4 linked regions of the Arabidopsis thaliana genome follow. The protein of the gene in region 1 interacts with the protein of each later gene in a pairwise test. Each region holds a gene or a part of one and is shown in the gene's direction. Other genes may lie near its edges. The genes, in order: AT3G10590, AT1G07050, HAM4 and AT2G02060.

The links.
Region 2: the proteins of AT3G10590 (region 1) and AT1G07050 interact in a two-hybrid assay, tested with the Arabidopsis thaliana proteins (one large-scale study listed by BioGRID).
Region 3: the proteins of AT3G10590 (region 1) and HAM4 interact in a two-hybrid assay, tested with the Arabidopsis thaliana proteins (one large-scale study listed by BioGRID).
Region 4: the proteins of AT3G10590 (region 1) and AT2G02060 interact in a two-hybrid assay, tested with the Arabidopsis thaliana proteins (one large-scale study listed by BioGRID).

What each region holds. Positions count from the first base shown.
Region 1 is NC_003074.8:3,309,331-3,313,728, reverse strand, and holds AT3G10590 (Duplicated homeodomain-like superfamily protein), read left to right. Parts: upstream 1-2,401; 5' UTR 2,402-2,417; coding exon 2,418-2,773; intron 2,774-3,040; coding exon 3,041-3,305; 3' UTR 3,306-3,521; downstream 3,522-4,398. Other genes in the region: AT3G10595 (Duplicated homeodomain-like superfamily protein), read left to right, coding at 914-1,182, 1,542-1,824; AT3G10585 (Homeodomain-like superfamily protein), read left to right, coding at 4,300-4,398.
Region 2 is NC_003070.9:2,162,398-2,167,436, reverse strand, and holds AT1G07050 (CCT motif family protein), read left to right. Parts: upstream 1-2,175; 5' UTR 2,176-2,303; coding exon 2,304-2,711; intron 2,712-2,802; coding exon 2,803-2,991; 3' UTR 2,992-3,083; coding exon of another isoform or gene 3,084-3,110; 3' UTR 3,111-3,862; downstream 3,863-5,039. Other genes in the region: DFO (uncharacterized protein), read left to right, coding at 90-231, 583-782; AT1G07040 (plant/protein), read left to right, coding at 4,402-4,608, 4,808-4,960.
Region 3 is NC_003075.7:17,303,363-17,308,696, forward strand, and holds HAM4 (GRAS family transcription factor), read left to right. Parts: upstream 1-2,395; 5' UTR 2,396-2,697; coding exon 2,698-4,158; 3' UTR 4,159-4,286; downstream 4,287-5,334. Other genes in the region: HVA22K (HVA22-like protein K), read left to right, coding at 4,407-4,469, 4,755-4,813, 5,227-5,324.
Region 4 is NC_003071.7:492,445-498,889, forward strand, and holds AT2G02060 (Homeodomain-like superfamily protein), read left to right. Parts: upstream 1-2,300; 5' UTR 2,301-2,316; intron 2,317-2,936; exon of another isoform or gene 2,937-3,231; 5' UTR 3,232-3,246; coding exon 3,247-3,406; intron 3,407-3,600; exon of another isoform or gene 3,601-3,638; intron 3,639-3,824; coding exon 3,825-3,901; intron 3,902-4,007; coding exon 4,008-4,047; intron 4,048-4,320; coding exon 4,321-4,462; intron 4,463-4,587; coding exon 4,588-4,717; intron 4,718-4,943; coding exon 4,944-5,165; 3' UTR 5,166-5,334; downstream 5,335-6,445. Other genes in the region: AT2G02061 (Nucleotide-diphospho-sugar transferase family protein), read left to right, coding at 5,581-5,880, 6,039-6,410.

The sequences.
Region 1 (4,398 bases):
CATCGACTAAAATAAATAAATCACGTAAGCATTAACACAAATATTCTATAATCTGTTCGGTCTCCCAATTTTTATTATTTGAGTTTAGACGGCAAATATTTAATTCCTAGTATAAATAATGAATGCTTATTTTTCCTTGGACAATGGTCGATAATAATCACAACTTGTTTGTTTAACGAATGCAACCAACGAACATGGATAAAAATGTTACTCTTTTAAGTATCAGAGTGACCAACCAGTAACCGGGATCGTTGCAATCCGTCGCAATATTCACAACTTGGTGAATAATTATGATTGATTATTTTCCTTTTCGTGTGAAGAGAGTTTGAAAAAATAAACAATTTTTTGTTTCTTTCATGTTAATGAAAGTTCTTAATTTCTAAAGTTTTGACTATTTATTTTATTTGTGTGGTATTAGGTCTATAATCTTTTGTATGTTAAATTTTTAATTTTTAACACGTGTGAAAACATAAATTTGTTTATACACGTGTTATAATCTAATTGGCTGTAACACGTATCATAATTCTGATTGCTAACACGTGTGAAAATAAAAATTTATTTGTACACGTATCATAATCTAATTGGCTAAAATCGTCAATATTATAAAACAAATTTAATAAAAAGGATATAGGAAACTAAATGAATGACAATAAATCAGTAGAAAGAAATAAAATAAAGACTTTGTATGCAATATAGCAAAATCTGAAATAAAATTTACCCTTTGAATATAAGAAAAAGGAAGGAAACTTAATACACCCCAATTTGAGAGAAGAGAAGCCATATATTTTTTGTTACTTGAGTTGATTTATAAGCTGCCATATCCCTTACATGAGTTATTATATATACTGTAGTTCTCCAGATTCACACCATTCTGTTTTGTAGACTTCATTTTCCTTAATTTGTTTTGGGAATCATGGCTGAAAATTCATGGACGACAGAGGAGAACGAGATGTTCAAGGATGCACTGGTGATGTTCACTGCCTTTTTGCTTACTCGGTTTGAGAGTGTCGCCGAGTATGTGGATAGATCGGTGGATGATGTTAAGGAGCATTACAAGGAATTGGTCAATGATCTTTTAGAGATGGGATCCAGTCGAGTAGCTTTTCCTAATGAATTGACTAAGGATATGGCTCAAAGTTCGTACCAGGCCGAGAGAACTATATGGACCAAAGAAACACATGAGTAAGTATATAAGATTAATGAGTGATGAGTTATGATTTTTGTTAGTTAGTGGAATTTACATACACGTATAAGTTTCAATTATAAACATAATGATTGATTAGTACTGGTATTGGTTTGTGGATCTAGCTAGACGCATTCTCCTCTTAGACTCCATAATTCACATAGTTCATTTCTGAGATTAAAATGTATTTAGTCCTATGATCTTACGATTTACACATTCTAGCATTATTTTTTTAATGTGGACAATATAGTTTTTTTTTTTTTTTCATTTGACTCAATTTATATCGTTAACTAATAATGCCATGGTGAAACTTGATTAAAATGGGCTGATCTATGAACTGGTGGAAATTGTAATGCAGATGGTTTCTGATTGGGTTAGACCGATTTGGGAAAGATTGGCGTAAAATAGCCGTCTTATTGGATTGCAAGAGCCCGATCCAAGTCGAGATATATGCAGAAAACTTTTACCAGTGGCAAAGCTCAAAGAAAAATGTGATTAACGACTTAAATGTGGCAAGCACCGATGTGAATGTGATGAAACGGCAGGGAGCAAATAACACCAATGTGGACTCAACAGGCCAACAAGAGAGTCTCGTCGCTCTGGAAATCGGTCACCATGCTAAGGCCCCCAACTCAAAGTGATATAAATCTCTATGACTGTATTAACAACCAAAAAATAAAAAGCCTAAAGATATTGAAGGCCCTTGATTATTTTTTTTGTGTGGTATGTTAAAGATTTGGGATTTCCATTTTTTTGGCAAACCATATTTTATTTAATTTTGTGGTCATCTATATTATTTTCTTTAACCATTAAAATAATATATATTTCAATGTTTTTATTTTTTGCTTTATTTCATCTAGGCTAAACAGAAGATACACGTAAGATGGAGCTTTCAAGTTAAGTACGTAGTATATATAAAGTTGGGGTTAAATAGGAAACTAAAATAACTTGAAATTACACTCCAAGTTTTACCCACTGCGTACGTCTAAACGTAAACGAGAAGAAAACTTCTGAGTCAAGTTGTGCGTGTTTAAATACGAAATCGTGTTTCTTTTTGTAAAGTGAGGGCTAATTTTGTAATTTTCACCCATTACTTGATCCTCTATAAATTGTCAGGTTGCCAAAATTAAAACGAACAAACAATCGCTCTTCCGTAACATATTCCACAAAACGATCTTCTTGTTTCTTGAATTTTTAGCCATCTCTTTTTTTTTTTCTCATTTTCTCGGATACTATGGCTTCGAGTCCACGCTGGACGGAGGACGACAACAGGCGTTTTAAGTCAGCTCTGTCGCAATTCCCTCCGGATAACAAGCGTTTGGTGAATGTCGCCCAGCATCTGCCGAAACCTTTGGAGGAGGTGAAGTACTACTACGAAAAGTTGGTCAACGATGTTTATCTGCCGAAACCTTTAGAGAATGTCACCCAGCATCTGCAGAAACCTATGGAAATGGAGGAGATGAAGTACATGTACGAAAAGATGGCCAACGATGTTAATCAGATGCCCGAGTACGTACCACTGGCGGAATCGAGTCAGTCCAAACGCAGGAAGAAGGATACGCCAAATCCTTGGACAGAAGAGGAACACAGGTTAGTCATCAAATACTTATGAATTAGGGTTTCTTTTGATTGAGGAAAAGTCTTAAATCTTGAGGAAAAGTATAAGTTAACAGTTCAAATCTCACAAAAAATGATTAGTTTGGGTTTTGTTGATTAGGGTAACGTATACAAGTATTTTTCTTCAGATAGATGTAATTATCAATTTGATTTATATTAATTTTAACATGATGATGCTGATTATGATAATATCTAGGTTATTAATTCTTATGATTTTGATTGTTTAATGATATATTTCAGATTGTTTCTGCAAGGATTGAAAAAGTATGGGGAAGGAGCTTCGACGTTGACATCAACGAATTTTGTGAAGACAAAGACTCCACGGCAAGTGTCAAGCCATGCACAGTATTACAAAAGGCAAAAATCGGACAATAAGAAGGAGAAACGCCGGAGTATTTTTGACATAACTTTGGAGTCTACCGAGGGCAATCCAGATTCTGGAAATCAGAACCCTCCGGATGATGATGATCCGTCCCAAGGTCAAGGCACTTGTCTTGGAGTTTAGATGTTGGAAGATAGAAGAATGGTGTGAAATGAAACAAGCAACGGAACTTGAACTCAAAAATAGATAATATATATATATATATATATAGATTTAATATAATAAAAAAGGAACTTCGCTTGTTTTCTGCATATGTATAGGATTGCTACGTAGTTTCGGTATACAAAAATATCAGTTTCACTTGATGATGTTCAAGTGTATAGGATAATTAATGATTCTATCAAGTATATGTTAGTTTTTATTTTAAATAGTTTCAAAACATTAAAAAAGCCAAGATATTATATTATATATAAAGTAAGTGAATATGATCACTAATTAAATGATCAATATTTAGTCAAACCGTTTGTCTTTCAGTATATTTAATTTACATGGAACTTGGAAGCATAATAAGACCAAAATTTTATAAGAAGATATATACTTTGAATTCTTTCTTGAACTGAAAAGTAATCTTTTCTTTCTTTCTTTAAATTCAAAAAAAATAGAATATTTATTTCTGTGATAAAGGCCGCGCGTAAACACGTTTAAAAGAAAGAAAATTCATAAAGAAGTCAGTCATACGTACTTAGAACTCTTTCTTGTACTGAAAGTTTTCATCTTTTTATTTTATTTTTTTCTGTGATAATTAAACAGACGTATAAACACGTTTAATAAAAAGAAAGACAGCTTCTGAGTTCTGAGTTTGATATATATAATATGGTGGTTAAGAACGAAATAAAATAACTCGGGTTTCTTTTATTAAATAAAGCAAAGAGGAGGGTTAATTTTACATTTTTCCTTATTATTTCTCATTATAAATCTAATATGAAACGAAAAATCTCAATGACATTATATATTGAGGGCTAAATTTGTAGTTTTTCTTATTAGTTTATCCGGCGAAATCACCTCTATAAAATTCTCAGGTTCTCAAAAAATAATTAAAGGAACAACAAACCCTCTTCAGTGACAGACACAGACTGACAGATTCCACAAACTATTTTTCTTCATTTTCTTGGATATTATGGCTTTGATTCCGCCGTGGACGAGAGACAATGACAAGCGTTTTGAGTTAGCCCTGGTGATATTCCCTGAGGGCTCGCCGTATTTTTTGGAGTACATT
Region 2 (5,039 bases), on another chromosome or scaffold:
GGAAGTACAGATCAGATAGGTTCTTTGCTTCTTTTGATTTTGACTTGTTCTTACTATGAGGTATGACATTTTGATGAGTTTTTACGTAGGCGTCTGAAAATGCCCTGTTGAGCCTTAAGAAGGATAGTCTTATTGAACCAAAATCAGAAGATAATTCTGACATTTTGGATGCTGCTGAGAAAGTAAGGAGACTAAGGGATTCAGCTGCCTCGTTAACATCTTCACATTCAGGTATTTTCATTTATATCGTGTCTTCTTTAAAGTTTGCTGTTTGTAACAGACTTCTGACTACATTTTGATTGCTTTCTTCGTCTCTATCTAAAGTATTGGTCTTAAATTACTCGTTTTATTCCCACCGTTCAATGCCTTCAATGTAGTGTGACTGTTATGTATGGGAGAATCCATTGAGTTTGATAGAATCTTGGAAATCTACTGGTTGGAAAGATTGATGATTTATAAACTGACTCTACCAACTATTGTTTGGATCCATCATAAAGGATATAAAACTGACTCGACCAATTTTAACAGAGTGTCTGTTAGAATGTATCTGATTGGTCTGAGTAATTTTCGAATCACAAACAGTTCAGGCACAAGGTGCAGGGTACTTGAGAAGCAAGGAACACAGAATACAATCCAGACAGACTCTACCCACTAAAAATCCAGACTGCACAGGTAGCAATCTGTTCAGAGAAGGAATCAAGAAGCGTAACGAAAGAATGTTGCAAGATCTCCGTAGTATTCGGATGAATCGAAATCTAGAACCAGATGTGCGCTGTGTTTGAACTTTGATGCAACTGATGCTACAAACTTTGCTGCTTCATGTTCATTGAAAAACAGGTCAGCTTTCGCTAACATTACAACTTAGATGTTACTGAAGATCATTTTTTTTTCTCATAGAAGAATAGAAGAAGCTTAACCTCATTGATGCCTTTTATGAGCAAAATCCAAATCATTTCACCAGACACATTTCCCATAAAGATTGTTTCTGTTTTAGCTTTTGGTTATCAAAATTCGAAATTTTACCACATCAGTATCACCACCTTCTGAAAAGTTTCCATTCAGTTTTTTTCTTGAAAAGTACGAAAACTAGTTTTTGTTCTTACGTTTGCATTATGAAAATAGCAAAAGGTTAATCAATTTGTATTATTAAACAACTCTATAAATTTGAAAATCAAAATGTTATTTTCAAAATTGTCTAAACTTCAACCGTTCAAAATCTAATAAATAGATTGCCACATAATTTCTCTTTTTAGTAGTATATATCATGTGGCTCATGTCTATGCTATCACAAGTAGACAATTGTTTTCTGAGATATTTTCTTTGTAATTGTTAAACCAAGATATGTCATCATCATCTTCCTATTTTTAGTTTTGGTCAACTTGTGTTTTCTTTTCCTTCTAATCATTTTTGTGATTTACAATGCATATTCAATGTATACAAATCTTGTAATTCAACATGTGTTAATGTGTAATTAATTATAAAATATATAATTAGCGGTATAGATACATTTTCTTTTAAGGATATAAAAAAAAGTTATATACTTTTCTTATTTTATCATGTCTATGTAATATGTGTCAAAGTGTCAAATTTTAATAGCTGTCATTTGCTAATTTTCTACATATTCATCTATTGGTGGAAACATACCTATTATCATTTCCTTCCATCACAACTTTTTTTATCATGTATATAAATATCTAACAGATTTTTCACTCCATCTAATGTGTCGAATAACAAATTCTTACATCAAGAAGAAGAGGAGTGAAAGGCCGAGATACAGATCGAAACATAGATATCACTTACCAATTGATAATTGGGTGACGCCTCTGTTTCAGTTTAGATTTCGGCTTCCCATTCCTCTTCATCAAGATGTAAGAATCTTATTCTCTTCTTAACTTAAGATACTTTGAATACAAGAAAATGAATTCTGAAGAAGAACAGGGAAATTTTATACTGTTATAGCTCTTTCCTAGCCCCAATGACGCTAGGACTCGGCTATTAGTATAAAGATGAAAAAAGTGGCTAAATGGTCTCTGGTTAGAGGCAAAGGACCAGTAAGAGAGGTCCCTCAAATTGGGTCCAAGCTGGACTCTCTAAACCAATCAGCTTGAGATTATTCCATCACTTTTGGGATAAGATGCCACATCGTATCAGTTACATCACATATTAAAGTATTAAAGAAACACCTTGCTCTCTAAATATTGTATTTGTATCTATATATAGTTTTCGTATGGTGACGGATTTACAAAGAAAAAAAAAATATTGGAGTGAAGGGAAAACAAAACAGAGAAAAAGATAAGAGATATATGGATACACAAAGGTTGCCGAAGAAAGAAGAAGAAGAAGAAGAAGATCATCTACTTTCTTCAACCTTCGAGTCCATCAATGGTCACTCTCGAGACCAACACAATCATTCTATAGATGATTTCGAGAGCATTTTCGACATCACCATTGACAATTTAAGCTGCTCTAACGAACTCACGTGGGATTTCTGGGAAGAAGACGAAGATGAAGATGTAGGGGAAGAAGAAAAAAGATCGAGTACTGATCAAGAAGGCTCAAGTTTTGGGTTTTGGGAGAATAAGCCGACGGATTATGAAGACAAAGACTTGGGTCTGAAGCTGAATCTGAACCATCAAGAAGTTATCGATGCTTGGTCTGATCACCAGAAACCTCTGTGGACAGATACTTCAACTCTGGACAATTCCGTTTATGTTAGTTTTTATGAATCTCTTTCTTGTTGTGCAAGTTATGAGTAGTGATTAATCTTGATTAGTCAATATTAATGATTTAGAGTGTATGCAGAGGGGAGAAGTGCCAGTGATAGAGGAGAAGAGAAACATGCGAAGAGAAGCAAGTGTGTTAAGGTACAAAGAGAAAAGACAGAGTAGGCTCTTCTCTAAGAAGATAAGGTACCAAGTCCGAAAACTCAACGCAGATAAACGACCTCGTTTTAAGGTCTCTTTCTTATTCCTTCTTCTTTCTACACTCTAGCCTTTACTCATTTAGTTTCATGACACCAATTAATATTGTGAGGCCTAACTTTATATTTCTCTTGCAATGGAAATCTTTTGAATTATTTGTAGGGTCGGTTCGTGAAAAGAGAGACTTAAAAGGGGCAAAAATATCTGGAGAAAAATATCTCCAACCTTTGTTGTGTCTATTTTCTGTTATTATTATTCGTAGTTTTGAGATATCATTATCGACTTTTACAACTTTTGTCATATTGAAATGAAAATATCTTATTGACATAAAAAAGAAAAGAGATGCAAAAATATCTTTAAGATTACATGAAGAGGAGCGAACGTATATGGCAAGTCTTTGTCGAATTGGTGGGGTCTTAAGGCTAAAAAAGGGTTCACCACATGTGTATGAATCGAAATCTACTCATCCGCTGTCGGGACCAAACTACATATCAACTACCACGTTTTTCTCATATGAATATTCAAAGCTACCGTAAATTTTTATAAAATTACGTCATTAGCATAAGAATGTATGTACATATTAATGACTATTATAAACCCTAAGGCACGGATACCTTATCCTTCCACCACCGAATTTCACGGATTCCATATCCTTTCACCGGACTAGACGAATATGAAGCTAAGATATTAATAGATTGGTGACCAAATTTGAATCTTTTCGGATAAAACTTGTTTGGCATACTTTCCCTTAGAGTCAATTATTCTTCAAACAATGTTTAACTTAAATCTCAAGATCTTATGTAGTTAATGGTAGATATCGTACAGTTTTTTTCGTGTTTGTCTTTTGATCGTGTGTAAAGTGTTGGAAAATCTAACTTTGTATATAAGTTCTACACCTCCAAATTAACGTTCGAGCTTATCGGTATTACTGCTAGTGCTTTCTCAAATTCCTTTTTAGATCATATAGTAGCCCACTAGGAAACCTTACACCAAAACGCCCAAATAATATGAAAAGCCCATCATATTGTCCATCCAAAGTAGGACAATTGCTGAAAAAGCCCAACGAATCAAACCTGCATTGTTACCTTGCACTTGGAAAATGAATTAAACGGCGACGCACCTATGGATGGAGACTAAGTTCACTCATCAAAAATCTAATTTCAACTCTAATTATCGTATTTAAGGTCATTGGAGATTCAACTCTTGTACCTGTAGTTTCTTCTTCTGAAAATCAGCAACAAACTACAAATCATCCAATGATAGAATTTCAGCTTTAATTATCAAACAAATTAAAGATAACCCCATTGATAATATCGCCACGTCTCATCGGATGAAATAGTACTATCTGACACGACACGAATCTCTTATGAGAGAAACAGAAGAGCACGGAATCTCCATAAATCAAAATACATGATCGGAGCTTTCTCACTATCAAAAGCTTTCCGGCGACAAAACCAACCATCTCCTCCTTATCTCCACCATGATCTCACTCCACTCATCAGCCATTAAAGCCTCTCTCTACGGCTCTTTCCCTTCTTCGTTACGATCAACACTCTCTGTTTCCTTCTCTGCTGGATCTCTTATTCGGCTTCCTTCCGTCGGCAAGCGCAATCTCTCCGTCGTCGTTTCCTCTGGAAGAGACTCCTCGATGTCATCAAACAATGTTTCTCGCGGATCGTCTTCAAAGGTTCGTCCTTTTGTATATTTCTTGTATGGTGTATATACCCTCGATTGATTTAGGTCATGAAAGATCTGAAAACTCTGTTCTTGTCAATTGTTGATGTTTTGATTCTTTGGCATGTGGGTGCAATTAATTTGCCTGCTCAAGTTGATAACTTGCCATTATCATCTAATTGTCTCGTCTCTCGTTTTTTACACTTGGCCAGGTTGCTGCTGAATCTTTCTTCAGGAGTGTCTTAGGGCAGATGGAAACTGTTTACCTAAATCGAAACCCGACGCCTAAATCCGTCTTGGAGCTTGTTCGATCTGTTGATGACCAGCAACTTTGCTATGATCATCTCGCTTTCAGAACGTTTGGGGTATAAACATTTTTGGCTGCTTCAAAGTTGTAACCATTTTGACAATGTTAAGTTGCTCATTATTGGAATTTGTCTATGG
Region 3 (5,334 bases), on another chromosome or scaffold:
ACGAGAGGATCCATTGGTCGATCAGTAAAAGAATATTGTCAGAGTGGGAATATAAGATATGATCGTCATTCATTTGTTTTTAATATACAATCACGTGTGTTAATAAATAGAACTTGTATTAATTACCAACATTATTTATGAAATATTCTTTTCTTTTTCGACAAACTCCAATCATGTGTAGGGAAGATATTGCCATATTTGGAGACGTTAGTGTATATGCAGAATAATTATCATTCATAAATTGTATTGCATATAATTAAAACGTTCGTTACCCAATATCAGATGGATTTAAATAAAATAGTTGTACACATAGGGCCATCATTTTTTCAGGGAATTAGCTGTATGAACGAGAATCAAAAGTGATAGTGTAATGATTTTCAAGCTAACAAGACGTAACATTTTGGTGGTCTGTGGACGAAATAATTTCTGAGCATAATGAAAACATTGGTCTAATACTGGCATTTTATTATTATTATTATTATTTTATTATTTGTTTAAAATACTGGCAATTCAATCTAACAAAAAAAAGGCAACTAATTTGGCGAGTGATTTCAGTTCGATAAATCATTGATTATTTTTCTTGCATGTTCCACATATATAAACTATAATATTATGGTATTTTATGTATGATCCTCGAAAATAAACTAACTAGTTGTTAAGCATGAGATTAGGATACAAGTGGATCCCATTGCATGTAGGCGTTCATACGGTGGAATATTAAACTTGATTATTTCTCTTAAATTTTTAAAACATAACAGAAATGTGGGCTTAATCATTAATTTAATGAGAAACAACTAAAAAAAGTTGCCACAAAAAGAACTTTTAGTATTTTAGTGTGTTAATTGAGCCGCTATACCGCATAAAATCTAAATTATATAACACAGATGAAGACTTATGTAAGAAAAAAAGTTGAATTATGTTAGGAAAAAGGTGTATTAATGAGAGGAACCTTTTCTCCACGATATTAAAGGTTGAATAATGTCTCAATGAGAAGAAGCTTTTCTTCACGAGAACTATATGATGTTTAAATTTCGCAAACTAGGCCATATTTTGCGAAAATGGTGAGTTATTAACCTAATATGATCAAACATTCCTAATTACACAAGGAAAAAAAAAAGAGAGTATATTCAAAAGATTGAGGAAATGGTTTTGCATTCTGGTACACCAAACCAAATAGAAAAGAAAGAAAACAAAAAAGGAAGGTAAATTTCCATGAAAATGAAAGCAATAAGTGAAGGAGAGAACATATTCTTTCTTTTTCCTTTGCGAGTTAGAGAGAAGAGTGGGGGGCTAAGCAAAAGAAAGAAGTGGGCGTGATTCTTACGCGCTGACTTAATGATCAGTCAATCTCTGGCCCATGGGCTTCTCGGTCATTTTCTCCGACATTATTACCTCAAAAGTTAGCCCATTGTGGACCCGCTTACTTTCCCCCTGCTTTTTACCGTGTTATGTGGGCTCCACATAAAGCCCAGTGGTCACTCCCTTTTTCCTTTCCTTTGTTTTTTGTCGCAAGCAGCGGGGATTAGTGTCCGTTAAACATCATCGACTCAAATTGTTTCATGCAATTTTCCCCTTTTTTATTGGTTATCAATCGAATAAACCTCTCTAGCTTTTGTAACTAGTTTGAGATTATTATGTGATATATGCACGGTACTAAATAAATACATAATATTGTATTTTGTGTGGTACTAACAACTAGGTTTAGTGAGAATAAAAACGACGTTGTAGAGTTTGTTTAGTAAGAATATTTTTGTCCAACACAAACTACTTTTAAAAAAAAATTCCAAACGTTGATATACCTATTGCCTATTGGAATAATCAACGCAGATTCATAGTTTTTTATTTATCTCCATACTTGGGTCAAAAACGTATGAGATTTAATGATCGAAAACAATATCCACAAATATGAAATATTTTAACGCTGATCTCAAACTCAGGTACAACATAGTTACATATAGCCGTGCTGCTATGTTTGAGAAAGATTATTTTTGATCACTTAAATTGTCATATGTAATAAAAAAAAACTTTCAGTTAAATGTTTTTGTAAAATACTGTTTAAAATTTTAGGATGAAAAAGACTGAAAAAAAACCACTCAGACAAAAAAAAGAGAGAAATCATTAACCTTTTTAAAACATCCTTTTTCTCTTTTATTTTCAACTTTCACATTCTTGATGATCAACATAGTGGAGCTTGGATCTCTTTTCAATCAAATGATTTATTTTTATTTTTAAAGCAGAGGAACTTTATTTGTATTTTATCCCTTTAAAGAGCTGTAGAAGTTTCCTTTTCATTAGCTACAGAAGTTGCTAGTTGTGCATAGTATATAGTTTTGGAGATATATTATGAGAAATTAATACAAAATAAAAACTGATTTAAAATCTTTCAGTTGAATTTCATGTGAAATAGTATGTTATTAATAAAAAACGGAATCATATACAAATCATTGTCAATCAGATTGTTTCGTGTATAAATATTATTCTGTAAAACCAAACAAACCCGGATCAGACACGGTTACCAAAGTTGAAATCTCTTTATTTGCACGCACTCACTCAAAGATAAAAAGCTTACCACTCTCACCTTTCAAAAGCCCCGCCACCTTCTTCTTCTCCCACACACAAAGAAAAAAGACAGAAAGAAAAAAACTTTTTTTCTTTTCGTTAAAGGCTCCACCTTTCTTTCTTCTTAACACACAACACATGAAAATCCCTGCATCATCTCCTCAAGACACGACCAACAACAACAACAACACTAATAGTACTGATAGTAATCACTTATCAATGGACGAACATGTCATGCGTTCAATGGATTGGGATTCCATCATGAAAGAATTGGAGCTTGATGACGATTCTGCTCCTAACTCACTTAAAACCGGTTTCACCACAACCACAACAGATTCTACTATTTTGCCTCTTTACGCCGTCGATTCAAATCTCCCTGGCTTTCCCGATCAGATTCAACCGTCGGATTTCGAATCGTCTTCCGATGTTTATCCTGGTCAGAACCAAACAACTGGGTACGGTTTTAATTCTCTTGATAGTGTCGACAATGGAGGATTTGATTTCATTGAAGATCTCATCCGAGTCGTGGATTGTGTTGAATCGGACGAGTTACAACTCGCTCAGGTGGTTTTATCACGGCTTAATCAACGCTTGAGATCTCCGGCGGGTAGACCGTTACAGAGAGCTGCGTTTTACTTTAAGGAAGCTCTCGGTTCGTTTTTAACCGGATCAAACCGGAATCCAATCCGGTTATCTTCTTGGTCCGAGATTGTTCAGAGGATCCGAGCGATTAAGGAATATTCCGGGATTTCTCCGATCCCTCTCTTCTCTCATTTCACGGCGAATCAAGCGATACTCGATTCGTTGAGCTCGCAGTCGTCTTCTCCGTTTGTTCACGTGGTGGATTTTGAGATTGGATTCGGTGGCCAATACGCATCGCTTATGAGAGAAATCACTGAGAAATCTGTAAGCGGTGGATTTTTAAGAGTTACGGCAGTGGTGGCGGAGGAGTGCGCCGTAGAGACGCGACTAGTGAAAGAAAACCTAACTCAATTCGCGGCGGAGATGAAAATTCGTTTCCAGATTGAGTTTGTGCTGATGAAGACTTTTGAGATGTTATCTTTCAAAGCGATTAGGTTTGTTGAGGGGGAGAGGACCGTCGTTTTGATTTCCCCGGCGATATTTCGTCGTCTAAGTGGAATCACTGATTTTGTTAACAATTTACGGAGAGTATCACCTAAGGTCGTTGTATTCGTGGATAGTGAAGGATGGACGGAGATCGCCGGATCTGGATCATTCCGGCGAGAGTTTGTTAGCGCTCTTGAGTTCTACACGATGGTGCTGGAGTCGCTCGACGCTGCAGCTCCTCCCGGAGATTTGGTGAAGAAGATAGTGGAAGCGTTCGTTCTACGACCGAAGATCTCCGCTGCGGTAGAAACGGCGGCTGACAGGAGACACACCGGCGAAATGACTTGGCGGGAAGCGTTTTGCGCCGCCGGGATGAGGCCGATACAGCTAAGCCAGTTCGCCGACTTTCAAGCTGAGTGTTTATTGGAGAAAGCGCAAGTTAGAGGATTCCACGTGGCGAAACGACAAGGAGAATTGGTGCTGTGCTGGCATGGAAGAGCACTTGTTGCCACATCAGCTTGGCGGTTTTAGATAAACCGGGTTTGGTTTAACAATATGATATAGAATAGAATAATTGTATTTACCGCCTTTAATATCTCTTTTCTTTTTGCTGTTTATCTTTCAAATAAAGAAATAAAAATATTTCTTACGAAGAGTCTCTGTATGAGCTAGAGTCTTTTAATGATTCATAATCTCCTCTATTCAAAACACAAGTGACCTTTTTTTTGCGAGTGTGCGAGTTCGTCGTCAATTTGGTAAAACCGTCGTACGAATCGCCGATGAGCGGGTTTGCTTCACAGATTCCATCCATGGCGCTTCTTGGATCTGGACTCACCGGCGAGGTAATCTTCCTTTAGTTTGATTGATGTTTCCGATTGTACGGCTTTTGTTCCGATCCGTGATTTGGGGATTCGTGATAAAGTTTATGATTAAATATGTATATTTAGGATTCCTTCATCTTCTGCCTTGTTGGAATTCAGATTTCTTCTGTACTGGATTGTTTTTTTGTTTGGATTACTCTTTGACAAAAGCCGATTAGAGAAAGAGGTGTTTCAATTCCTGATCATGTGGATATTCTCAACTTTTGGATTGAGAGAAACAATTGTTTTTCTCAATGGAATTTTCAGGTTGGGTTGCGTGTATTGTTCTCTCCACTTAGTTCCAATATCGTACTTCGTACAGCATGGTGAGTTTTTTTTATTGTAAGGTGAAGAAAGCCATATAGTTGCTAGAATCAATGGTACAGGTAGACGAATGAATTGGAGGAATGATTTGATTGGTGAGATTGTGATCTGATTGAGTGATTCTCATTACATGTGAAGCAATGGGGTAGGGAGGGAGTTTTTTTTTTTTTTTTTTTTTTTGTTGACATAGTTATTAACTTAGCCGAGTGGACAAGGGTTCTATTCTACTTGTTGTGATACTTTAGGGTATCTTTTGGACAAGGGTCAATCTATTGTTGGGGAATCTGGATTCTTTTTGTTTTATCCGAGTTTTTGGTTATTTTCTCTATTAGAAGGTGTTATAGCTGTAGTTGACTAAAGGATTCGGTTATAAAGGACACGTTTGTGTGGTATGTCTGAAACTTGTTTCCTGCAGCTGCTCCATTGGCATCGGTTTGCCTGTGTACTCTACCTTCAAGGCAATTGAGAGTGGAGATGAGAATGAACAACAAAAGATGCTTATTTACTGGGCAGGTGGGATATT
Region 4 (6,445 bases), on another chromosome or scaffold:
ATCTCTGTTTTGTGTTTTCATTAATTACGTTTTCCTTCGGCTTTGACTCCGGAAACATTTATGTCGTTCGCCGGTTTTAGTTTTCCTTTTTTGGGGGTTGTATTCTACCTTGGTTGCACAACAAGTTTATCAATAAAATTTCATATGAAAAAAAAAAAAAAAAATTGCAAAAGTTACGCTTTTGAAAGAAAAAGAAAAAAAAAAGGAATAAAAGAGGTTATGCTAAGAAAACATATCAAATCTAATTCCAATCCTTAAGGATGAAAAGTCAAGAGTTGTTTGGTCCTACTTCCAATAATTATGCACTCACACTACTCTAAACCTTTTCACATAACCATGCAATGTCTATATCTATCCATGTGTACATTGTTGTATATTATATTCTCTGTCTTGTAATTTATATATTAGTTGTGTAATTTTTTTGGTGGCCCAACCATTCCCAAATCAAACTTTTAAACAACTCTCTTTCACTTTTGTTTAATGTTATTTTAGGTGTGAAAAGGCTAATTCTTCTCTGTTCTCTCTAGGTGTTTCATGGATTACACCTTTTATATTACTTTAACCATCTTAGAATTTGCCTTGTTCTTGCATGTGCTATGATTGAATTCAATCAATGGGTGATGAGAAAATTGACCCAATAGAATAATAAATTAACATTGATAATCGTCGAATGGTTCGGTGAGATTTGCACATCCAAATTTTCCACACACAAAAAAGAATGTTATGTTTTTTATAGTCCAAAATCCAGTTGGGTTACATTATCTTACATGTATGTACAAAGTTTTATAATATTAATAAAAAAACAAGCAAAGAGAATTATTGAATGTTTTGATTGTGGTAAAAGCCATGAATCATGGACCTCCACAGTCAATTACTCATTCAATTTCTCTTGGAGCTATTTGTCTCTGCCAGACTCATTTAATGTATTATTTTCATTTGCTTCCACTTTCTCTCATACATGTATTAGTACTAACCATTTTGATTTTTGAGACTTGAACTCTCGGTTAGACATTTTATCCATCCATGCAATTGTGTTTATCGATCAATGATCATCAGTAGGATAATAAAAGGCTTTATTAGTGAATATAGTAAAATTGTTTCACTGATAAAACCTTTTGGAATGTGTTTACTTGATTATTTTGATCAATGATCATAACCTAGGTAGCTTTTTGTATTATTCTTCTAGTCAATATATAGGTAATATAAGCAACTCGTGTGTCTTTGACAAGCTGGTGACTGAATATTATATTTTAATTACCGTCTAATCAAACACTAAACCATTTTTAAAATCGTTAAAGCGAATTTTGGCATATATGCAGAGAATTCCACGTTTTTATAATAATTTAGAGAATGTGCATAAATGAGAAGAAAATGCAAAGCACAATAGGCTACATTTTAAAGGTCAATGACCTCACTTTGTGTGTAGATTTTATTATTTGATTGTTTTTTTCGTTGGGTATAGAAATGTCTGATTTATGTGTGGAATAAAGACGACGACTTTGTTAAATTATAAATTATTAAATTTTGTTCTCTTAATTAATACTCAATCGGCTTTTTCTTATTTTTTTATTATTATGGCTGATACCACGTAAACCACGAGTAAGTATGTAGTACAAATCAATTACTTTCTAATACTACATAAAAATTATATACTAGTACTTAATTTCTTACAAGAAATACATACATCATTTAAAAACAGTATTTGATGTTAATATAAGTAGTTAATAGTAGAATAGCTGATAAAATAACGTGATTTATGTCCACAATTCGTTGATTAAAATATTGAATCCATGGTTGGAAAAAACTGGCGAAATCAGTAATTATTGTCGGCTACCATATAGGGACATGATGGTTTTGGTTCGTCTTCCATGTACACCAAATCAGCAATGAGAAAAAGAAAAATGGGGAAAATAAATAATTCTTGTTATAAATATTATCCTAAGATTTATTATCACTTATTATGGGAGTGAAAAAGAAAACAATAAGAAGGAAAATGAATGGGAAATGGGAGAAAATGTAAAGGAATTAGGGGAATGAAGTCAAAACGGTGGTCCAAAAGACATAACGAAGGACCATTGTAAAATTGTGTGATTTATTTGAAATCAGAAAGTTTAACACGAAACCCTAAAAAAACAAAACAAAAAACAAAAATAGGAATAATAATTATGCTATATGGTCAAAGCTAAGCAGTTGGGCTATTTTCATTTAAATTTATTCGTTTTGGTCTAAAACCTATCGTGAAAAAAGTGAGAAAGTAAAGTTTGAGGTACTGTGGAGGAAACTTCTTCATTTGGGTAAATCCCAAATCCCTATAAGGTAAATATTATGTGTTCTTACAAAATTTGGTTTTTCTATGACAAGTATATTCTTTTGACCAGCTAAGCTAACAAATGTATGTTCAATTGGTTATATATCGATCGGGGCAAGGGTAATACTCGAATCTATGTTCTTTTCATGCAAGTTATGTATGTAGCCTTGTGTAGTTCTCTGGTACGTTGATATGCAATGATTCTCTCGAAAACTATTTAAAAAAATTATTTAAGATAATAATGAATGGGGTCACGAGTCAAGACTAATGTAACCAAAGTCAAATGGATTTTCGTATGATTACTACTTTTGTAACCAAAGTCAAATGGATTTTCGTATGATTACTACAAGCTTGTAGGTCAAAAAACACATGTCACCTCTCTGTTTAGTATAATAAACCAATTTTATAACATCATTCTTTTTATTTGCTAGTTTAATCGTCTAAATAAGTGACCCAACCATAAACCATATCAGATTATGAAATTTTGACTTTACGATAGTTTACGTATCCTCAAATTCCTCACGTATATGTCATGAACAATTCTTAAACAACAAAATTATAACTCTCTTTTAATTAATGTAGTTTTTTCGTAAGAACTCAAATTGATATTTAACAAAAAAAATGAATGAAACATTTCTCAAGTTTTAATAATTATTTTTTGGAATTTTGCAAAACATATATAGAGAGATAATAATAAGTATGAATGAATCCAAAAAGAGACAAAAAGAATAGATGGAAAAAGAGACAGTCATCTTTAAGAAAGAAGCCAAAAACAAAAACTTGCTCTTTTAATCCCAACCCACACACCTCTCAAATCCTCCTCTCCTCGTTTCTCTTTCTCTCCTCTTCACAGAACCAAAACATATCAAACCTTTTTTTCTCTTGGGTTTAAGTAAAAATCGAATCTTTGTGTCGGTTTTTAGGGTTCTTGAAACGATATGGGTAAGTCTAGTGGTAGAAATGGTAACGGAAGCTTTAACGGCAATAAATTTCACGGAGTTAGACCTTACGTACGGTCTCCAGTTCCACGGCTTAGATGGACGCCGGATCTTCACCGTTGTTTCGTTCACGCCGTCGAGATTCTCGGTGGTCAACACCGTAAGTTTATTATACTTTTTTTCTCTTCAAATCTTTTGTGAAAAAAACCAAACTTTTGTGTGTTTGTTTGCTTCAAACATCCTAAAGTTACGATATAACTAGAAAAATTGGACTTTTCTCATTCTTTTGTCTCAATCATCGTAAAAAATCAGTTTTTGAATAAAATCTTCACACTTTTGTTACTTTGTTTCATTCTTATCTTCAAAGTTTGGATTTTTATGCTAAAAAAAAGGTTTGAAGTTTCCTTATTGTGTTGTTTATCTTCATCATCGTAATGAATCATCTTTGTCAAGTTACCGAGTCAAAACCTTCACGCTTTTGTTGTTTTGTTTCATTCATAAAGTTTGAGTTTTTGTTTTTTTTCATAAAGAATCATCATAGTCACCTTTTTGATATTTTGTTGGGTTTGATGAAACAGGAGCAACACCAAAACTTGTTCTTAAGATGATGGATGTGAAGGGACTTACCATTTCACATGTCAAAAGCCACCTTCAGGTAAATAGTAATTAATTTTACCAAAAACATCAATTTTGTTTTCTTCTTTATTCATATTTCATTCATAACACCTTGTTTTGATTGTTTTGAACATATATATAAACAGATGTATAGAGGAGGTTCAAAGCTCACTTTGGAGAAACCAGGTATTATTTTTTTCCTTATAATTATGAAATGAATCAATGATGATATTTGGAAAAAGAATGGGACCGTTGATTTTAATTTGAACTGTTAACATCAAACACATAATAATGGATGGAATTTAATTATTTTACTGTATCTGTTTGTAGTATGTACTATTGGTCTAGTGTCATGATTCATAAGACAAATGTCATAAATACATTTATATATTTTTCAAGAGTAATAGAACAGAAAATAAGAGAATATTCATTAACTAGTTTTTATTGTTTCTTACACAGAAGAAAGCTCATCATCTTCAATAAGAAGAAGACAAGACAGTGAAGAAGATTATTATCTTCATGACAACTTGTCTTTACACACAAGGAATGATTGTCTTTTGGGTTTTCACTCTTTTCCTCTTTCTTCACATTCTTCATTTAGGTATTTATTTTTATTTATAATTGTTTTCTGACAAAGTTTTTTAATTTTATTTCAGTAAAAAAAAAAAAAAAGTGTTTTGCTTTTTTGTTTGTCTGTATTTGAATTGTCCTTTTACTTTGGTGCAGAGGAGGAGGAGGAGGAAGAACAAAAGAGCAGCAGACTTCAGAGTCTGGTGGTTATGATGATGATGCTGACTTTCTTCACATCAAGAAGATGAACGATACGACGACGTTTTTGTCACATCATTTCCCCAAGGTATAAATAAATTTCTCTTTTGTCAACCGGTTTGGAAATTTAATGTTGCAAAACAAAATCAAGTCCGGTTATGAGTTCTAACCGGTCTGATTGAGACTGGTCAAATCCAAAGGGATTGAGTCCGGTTTAAGTACTACTTGTCATTGAATCTAATTAGTTTCATATAAATGGCATTTAACCGGTTTTAGTCCGGTTTGGTAACTAATTTTGTCTTTTGGTTCATTAGGGAACAGAGGAGTGGCGGGAACAAGAACACGAAGAAGAAGAAGAAGATTTGTCGTTGTCTCTGTCGTTAAATCATCATCATTGGAGAAGCAATGGATCATCGGTGGTGAGCGAAACGAGTGAAGCAGCAGTCTCGACTTGTTCAGCACCATTCGTATCCAAAGATTGCTTTGGTTCTTCAAAGATTGATCTTAATCTGTCAATTTCTCTCCTCGGTAGCTAAATAAGTTATGCAAGATTTAGGTTCAGAGAAACTATTCGGATGTGTTTTTGAAACTAGGATATTGAATGTTAGTAGAGAAACCTAGAAAATGAAGTTTAGATAAATTATCAACGCAGCGTTTTGATCGCCTTTGAACGGAAAATTAACAAACAGAGCCAAACGCAGTGTTTTGATCTTTGAAGGATAACCCCTAAACGCAGCGTTTCTATATCAAGATCCTACGGTTTAGAATGTTCATTGTTATTTTGGTCGGCAATCCTACGGTAGAAAAAATAATCTCGCAGATAAAACCCATTAAACGCTGCGTTTCATCGTTGGAGGGTAAACTCATTAAACGCCGCGTTTTACATTCAAAAAACTTGAAACTACCTTATAACCGCCCAGACGATGACCAACGTCGTCAACGTCGGCGAAGATGAATCTATCGAACCGTTTTGGCTCCAATTCCAAGACGGCGATACTCAACGATTCTTACTCCGACGAGAATCATTCTTCCTCCGCCGCCGCCGCCGTAACTTCCGTCGTAATCCCACCGTGCTCCGGCAATGTACTCCGAGCCGTTCTCTTGCTCTTCTTCATCTGCTTCTGCTTCTCCCTCTACAGAACTTCTGGTTATCTCCGAATCGTCTCTGACTCTTCCTCCACCCTCTCTCGCATTTTCCCCTCTGTCAACGATTCTTCTTCGTCTCCGTCTCCATCTCCGTCTCTGTCTCCGGTGAGTATTCTTCTTCTTCCACATTGTTTCTATATATTTGGTGTTTATTCATAAATCCGATCTTCGACTTCATTAGACTTCGATTCTAGGGATTTGATTTGGTAATCGAAATTGAAATTGGTTCGATTTTGATTCTGATTCTGGTTTTGGTTTCTTAGGAGGAAATTGAGGAACCTAAGCTAGAAGAAGTATTGCGTAGAGCAGCAACTAAAGATGGTACAGTGATTTTGACAACTTTGAATGAAGCTTGGGCGGCTCCAGGATCTGTGATTGATCTTTTCTTTGAGAGTTTTAGAATTGGTAAAGGAACAAGAAGGCTATTGAAACACTTGGTGATCATTGCTTTGGATGCTAAAGCTTATTCACGTTGTCAAGAACTGCATAAGCATTGCTTCAGACTTGAAACAGAAGGTGTTGATTTCTCTGGTGGTGAAGCTTATTTCATGACTCCTTCTTACTTGACAATGATGTGGAGACGAATCTCTTTCCTTCGCTCTGTTCTTGAAAAGGGTTACAACTTTGTTTTCACGGTATAAGTCTCTCTTTCACTCTTGAAAAGAACTTG